Oryzias latipes: one gene and its partner. The protein of the gene in region 1 purifies or fractionates together with the protein of each later gene. This does not show direct contact. Links are inferred from orthologs where the notes say so. Each region holds a gene or a part of one and is shown on either strand. Other genes may lie near its edges.

Evidence for each region.
Region 2: the proteins of slmap (region 1) and serine/threonine-protein kinase 3 purify together in Homo sapiens (affinity purification with western blotting; 3 studies listed by BioGRID and IntAct, with this or other methods). This does not show direct contact. The link is inferred for Oryzias latipes from reciprocal best matches to the Homo sapiens genes SLMAP and STK3.

What each region holds. Positions count from the first base shown.
Region 1 is NC_019863.2:32,508,838-32,512,359, reverse strand, and holds part of slmap (sarcolemmal membrane-associated protein), read left to right. Parts: coding exon 1-32; intron 33-110; coding exon 111-251; intron 252-333; coding exon 334-471; intron 472-558; coding exon 559-727; intron 728-926; coding exon 927-977; intron 978-2,208; coding exon 2,209-2,331; intron 2,332-3,522. UniProt on the Homo sapiens protein: Associates with the striatin-interacting phosphatase and kinase (STRIPAK) core complex, forming the extended (SIKE1:SLMAP)STRIPAK complex.
Region 2 is NC_019869.2:24,043,228-24,046,475, forward strand, and holds the end of serine/threonine-protein kinase 3, read right to left. Parts: intron 2,942-3,248; coding exon 2,748-2,941; intron 2,610-2,747; coding exon 2,451-2,609; 3' UTR 521-2,450; downstream 1-520. UniProt on the Homo sapiens protein: Stress-activated, pro-apoptotic kinase which, following caspase-cleavage, enters the nucleus and induces chromatin condensation followed by internucleosomal DNA fragmentation.

The DNA.
Region 1 (3,522 bases):
TGATGGGGAGTCAGCTACAGGCCTACTCCAAGGTAAAGTCACCTTCTCAGGTTCTCCTCTGTAAAAAGGTGAGGCACAGAAGTTCTCATTCATGTCTGGAACTCCTGCAGTCCCAGACGGAGGAGGGGATGCGGAAAGAGCTTTTGGCTCTTCAGGAGGACAAACACAACTATGAGACGACGGCCAAGGAGTCTCTGAGGAGAGTCCTGCAGGAGAAGATCGAGGTGGTCAGGAAGCTCTCCGAAGTGGAGGTGGGACCCTTTGAGGAGTTGTTTGTCCCTTCAGGCTGATGGATTCAGTACCGGTGAACCCAACGCGTGATCTCCTCTGCAGCGCTCGCTCAGCAACACGGAAGATGAGTGCACCCACCTGAAGGAGATGTCTGAGAGGGGTCAGGAGGAGCTGAGGGAGCTCGCCAATAAGTACAACGCCGCTGTCAACGAAATAAAAGAGCTCACCGACAAAATCAAGGTGAGGCCTTGTGCGTTTACTCTGAAAGGTTCGATTCCCGCCCCTCTACATTTGTGCAGTAACACCCGATCGTCTTCTTTCCTTTAGGTGGCGGAGGGCCGGCAGGAGGAGCTGACCCAACGAGGAGAGACGGAGAAGAGGGAGCTGGAAATGAAGATAGAGGAGATGGAGGAGAAGGAGCAGGTTCTCCAGGCTCGCATCGAAGCTCTGCAGGCAGACAACGACTTCACCAACGAGAGACTTGCTGCTCTTCAGGGTACGTCTGGGTCACGTCTAAACGCCGTTTGCTCCCTGAAGCCTTCCACTGCTGCTTCATTGCATATAAACGGAGGACCGAGCCGACGCCTTTGTTCGGTTCCACCTCAGCTGTCGGTTCCTCGCAGAAGGCCGACTGGAGCTGCTGCAGGTCCAGCTGAACGTTCTCTTTCTGCTGTTGTTGTTGTTGTTGTTTACAGCGCGGTTAGAGCAGCTGCAGGAGAAAAGCGGTAAAGAAAACAACAGTCTGGGTGAGTCCACGTCCCGCTGGTCCGCTCTGGGACTGCTGTGTCTGTGGGGTTAATCAGCCTGAGCTGCACTAACGATGCATGAAACGTCCTGCATGGTCTGTCTGTGCACTTCCTGCTGTCGCTCTTTTCTCCTCGTTGAGTTTTTTTTATGATCTTTCAGTGGTTGACTCATTCACACAACATTGTATTGTTGTCCATAAACGCAAAAAGATTTTTTTCCATTTTAATTACCTAATTAACTTGTAGTTTAAGGCGGAAATGTCACACAATGTGAATCCAGCTGAGGGAAAGTTTATCTATTTCCTCCTGAATGACCTGCATCAGAAATACCTGCACTAGAGCTGCTGCTGACGGTGAAGCGACCCAACAGTTTCCACTCTATATTATCTAATTTAGATGTTTTATGTACTTAGTTTAATTCATTTAATCGTTGGTCTATTAGCGTTACACTTAAACCTCCTGTTGTGACAAACTGATGTTTGTTTCTGTCTCAATTACAAAGGCAGTAACTGAACCATTGTATTTTATAAAATGCTGACGTCACCTTAAATATGACAAACTGGAATAGATTCAAAGTGTAACAATTGTTTGTTTTTCCTTTCAAAATGGGTCAATTTACCCAAAGCATAAGAGATTTTATAGTTTTCTCTTTAACTTTGTTCTTCTGGCTCTGGGTGTTGTGACAGAAGTCTTAAAGCAATAAAGTCCATAAAAACATCAAAAATCCTTTAATTTTACATTTAAAAGAGTAAAAATGTCCTCTGTGCTCCAGAAAAACGGACGTAAACACAGAAAATGATCACTCCTGAGGTGGATTTCATTCCTTCATGAGTTCCTGCTTCGTGTTCCTGTCTGTTAGAATGACTGTGGGTTCTCTGTGGAACGCCCAGTCGCATCGCTATGCGCTATGCTAGGATGCTAGGATGCTAGCTGCAGGTCCTGGTTCTGACCTGGACCCGTCTGGTTTCATAAGGAGCTGGTGTGTTTTTCTGGGCTTTGTTCTGGCGGTTCTGTCAGGTGAATTTTGGGCTTCTTGGTTAATTCAGAGCTTTTCCAAACCGATCACTGCTTTGGTTCCTTTTTCCGGGGGGAGGAGCTTGAGGACACTGATTTCTGCACTAAAGGAGTCCTGAAGGTCTCGCTCTTCTTCATCAACGGGCTTCACAGTCTGTCTTCTGCATGTCTGGCTGATGAAGGTTCCATGTGTATATCTGATCTGGTCACATGACAGAGGTGGCCCTCGTCCCTCCCGGAGCTGCAGGGGAGCCCGTGGAAGACCTAGCGGACGAAGACCACGATGAGCCGGATACAGACACCGAGGAGGGGGCAGTTCACGAAGATGAAGATGTTATTGGTAGTCTATCTCAACTGTTTCCTTAATTTCTTCTTCCCAAAGACAGACGATCAAATGTTTGTTCGATGCAGAGCTGAAACCTCAGAACGCGTCTGGCCTGAGACCAGGTCTTCCTCGATCAGGACATGTGCAAGAACTGAAATGCTGGATCCAGATCCATCTGGGAGCCACTTTTCTGGTCCGTCTGAGGAGCACGTCTCCAGATAACTGGTCTGCAGCGCTGTGGCCTGCTTCACGCATCAGTGTCCCACGTTCTGAGCTGTCTCTGGTGAAATGAGACGTAAACGCAGCGTCTCGACTGGAAACTCTGTGTGTGTGTGGCTGAACCTGCTTTCAGCCGCCTCACACACTCGCGATGCGGTCTGCGCCGCTGCAGCCGCTGCAGTCTCCTCACATGCGTCCTGGAGGAGAGTTCACTGATGTTTCTTCAGGTTCAAACCAATGTTGGAAAGGGAGAGCGGGTTTGTAGATGTTTCTCTACACCATGAACCGACCTCTGACCCGAGAAGGTTTGGTGTCTTCTCTCCGCCGCTGTCGAGTCTCATCCGTCTGTTGTTGATCTTTAGATCAGCTTGAATGAAACCTCGTAATTGTCCTTCGTCCGATGCTGGTTTAAAACTTTGTGCTGCGGCATCTTTGAAGGTTTGGTCCAAAATCTTTACAAATGTGGATCGCTCGTTTTCTGAGCATCATCTGCTGCAGTTTGTTGTTCGGTCAGTTTCCATCTCAAGGTTTAGGAGAACACCAACGGCTCCTTCAGCTCCTGGGTTTTTCCATTTCAGCTTTCACATCAATCTAGTCCTGCTTTGGAATGAAGTCCATGTTGGGTCTCAGTTTCTTCTCGGGTTAGGAGCTTTACTCTCTCACAGTTGTCATTTCTAACCCGTTTTATTGTGCCGTCTGCAACATCATCTTCCCGTCAGCATCTTCCGTTCACTCATTGGGTGCAGCAGCTCTGAGATCTGGTGCAGTTTGAGTTTCCTTCGGCTCTGATGTTGTTCCGTCTCCATCTTGCTGCTGTTTCTCACCTGCTGATGCTTGGTGGGGTGTTGCATAGCAGCGTGTTTGACTCCATCCTTCACCTGTCCTGTTGTTCTGGTCTGTGACACGTCTGCCTGCTTCCTCTGTGTCCGTCTCAGGCCTTCCCTGCCGTCTTCTTACCGGACGTTAAGTTAGGAGCAAACGCAGCTT
Region 2 (3,248 bases), on another chromosome or scaffold:
CCAGCTTGCATTATAGGCGTCACATGGATCACTGCTTCAAGCACAGTTTAAAAGTTGTAGTAACCAGTCAGCCCAAATCAAGAGGAGACCTAAAGCTGCATGTTTGATGGGGCATTTGCAGGGAAATTTGATTCATCCTATAGAAAAATATTGATCTAAAACACTAATCCGAACTAATCTCTAATAACCTGAAGAAGAAAAAACAAGATATTAAACCTGGAGTAGCCATGGTTTGAGATGAGCTGGACAGAGGAGGAAAATCACTTCAAATATGGACCTTTTGCAGACATGGGAAAAAATTGCTGATGTGTTTAATTTCTGTTGTAGAAAGGCAGCCATGTTCAGATGTTATATTTCCAAAAGATAGCAACTTTCATAAGTAAATATAGATTTTTTGTAATTAAATTATTGCAGATTTATCTACATTAAAAAAGAAAAGAAAACTGGGCTGTATCAAATATGTTGATTAGAATTGAAAAAATGTATAAAACCTAAATTCAGTAAACAGTTCTTCATAAACTTTTTTTTTAACTTTTATTACATCATAAAGCTATTGCAAACAAAATATAATAAATAAGCAGTTGAAATGTAAATTCTTCATAGGCTCTACACCCCTATATCAGCACAAAAGGAAAATGACAACGTTAATAAAGCTTGGTAATAAAAAAAAAGTAATTTTAAACAGTACGTCCCAGCCAAAACTTTAGGACATCATTTTCTTTTTTTAATATTTTGGAGCAAACCTTTAATTAGAAAAACAAAATGTAATTGCAGTACTTCTTACTATGCTTTCTGTACAACATGCTTTCACTCTAAACATAGTGAGTAGACTTCAAATCCAATGTAGTCGTATTCTATGTCATGAAAACGAAGAACACGGGGTTATTTTACAGCATTGGTTGTGTACATAAACAGCCGCTTCAGAAAGCCAGAGAGACGTGTAACAGTTCAAAAACAGTCACATCACATTCATGTGGAACAACAAACGACAGATATGCTGTGCATTCAATCGAGTTATGATTTGAATAAAAAAAAGCATAAATTAGATTAAATAATTCCTTAATATTAGACACTAGAAAGCATTTTCTGTGAAAATGAATGGGTCAATGGCTCCGTGATATGAAAATAGTCACACGCCAGGTTGTCTGTATGAAGCCTTTCCAATGTCTACTTGGTCATTAGAAATGTAATCTTCAAATAAACTTACCTGACAATTCCTAGGAAGCAAATAAAAAGCTATATAGTTTTCAGGTTATAAGAGATGTATTTAAAAGCACACAAGACATACATAGCAGGAATTCAGTCAATGGATAACACATCAAGTCGAGAACACACTTGTGTATTATTGTTGAAATCTAAAGTTATCCTGAAAAAAAAAAAAAAGAAATAAAAACAAAAGCAATGTTTTTTTTCGTATCCTGTTTGTTTACGACCACAGTAATAGAACCGTTGCTACAGCTCTGTTTAGGTCATTGAACCCATTATTGAAGTAAAGGAGGGTTGAACAATCCAGGTCTTTGAGATCCACGGCTCTGCTCGTGTCCACTGTCAATTATCTGGATCAGGTGAATCCAGCCAATCAGAACCTGCAAATCCTCAACGCAGGTAGTCAGCAGTGAATAGAGAAGAATTCGTGGTAGATGTCTAGAAACACAGCTGAGCAGCCCTGATGTGAAGGATCCAGTCCCACAACAGGAAAAAGCTCAAACATGACACTGAAATCATCCCATCATGTGATTACCTAGAAACTATAGTACATACCATTGCTTCTCATTTTCATGTCTTTAAAGTTGTCACTTTAAAGATTGATAGTAACCTGGGAAAAGTGGTTCAAGAGGCACTGACATACTTGGTGTCTTTTTCAGACCTAAAAAAAACAAAAACAAAAAAAACTTTTATGATTCTTCTATATTTGTGTTCATCCTAATAAAGATTTGCTGCTTCAGCAGTTTTCTTCCCACTTATCTACAAGAGAGCAAATTGGTGAAACTAAAGACAGATTCAATTTAAAAATGTTAAGGCTTTATCAGCTTCCTCATTTTGTTTCATCTTTGGTCATGGACGAAGCTCCACAGCTTTAAATGCAGGTTCGTTTAAGCAAGGCTCTATATTTACATTTGACAAATCAAATAGACATATAAGTGGATCACTTCATTTTGTACTAGGCATGCAACTGAAAACAGGAAGTTCTGTTCAAGACTCTCGGGTGTCAAGAGGCCTAGAGTTACTTCTCTTTTCAGCCAGAATCAGCTCCACAGAACACAATTGTCTTTTTTCCAAACTACATCCGCCTGCTGAAAGGGAAATTCGTTAACTAAATGGACAGAAAGAATCCCAACTTCATTCAAAGACAAGTTAGCATTTAGTCTGGACAGCAGAGGGAGTTCGACTCCACTGTCGCTGGATCTAAAGTTTCATGCTGGTTTGGAACACACGACGGCCAGAAACCCTCAGAAGTTCTGCTGTCTTCTCTTTTTAGCATCCATTGCATCCAAGATAGGCTGGCGTTTGGCAGTGTAGCGCTGTCTCAGCTCCTCAATCTCTCGCTCCATCATGGGATCTAAGGCACTCAGGCGCAGCTGCAGCTCTTCAAAGTCCAGGTTCTTCAACTGGTTGACCAAAAAAACAAAACAAAAAAACAGCAATAAACTGTAAGAACACTTGACTTGTTGTGCCCTTTTAAAATCATGGAGCCCGATATTTATGAGGTTTTTTTTAATGGGGAATAATACACCTGAGAAACTCACAAAGTCAAAGTCTCCATCCTGAGGAACTTTCCAGTTGTCTGGAAAGACGTTTTTGGATTGGATGTGGTAGCCGGACGGCTCCTGCAGCTGGTTGTGGTTGTAGTTCTCTTGCTGTTGGGTTGCCTTGTTGGAGTCCTGCTTGTCAAAGTAGTCCATGAAGGCTGGACGGATGGGCTGTTGGGCGGTTGGATTCCCTGGGAAGTTGGAAGAAGCCCTTTGTTACTAAAACGGGTTTGGCCATTTTTTACGCTTTGTACCAAAAAAAAAAAAAAAAAAAAAAAAAAAAAAAAAAAAAAAAAAAAGAGTATAAACATTTATGGAAACTAGAGTTAAAACATTGAAGACAAATAACTGCAAACAATTTGCTATTTGTACACTTTGCCAAATATTTTCTCTTAAATTATTTGATGGTACTCAGGACCTTTTCTTTAAAAACTGCAGTTGTTAACCCTTTACCACCAAACGTCACCGGTGACACCTAAATAACACTCTTTGACAGAT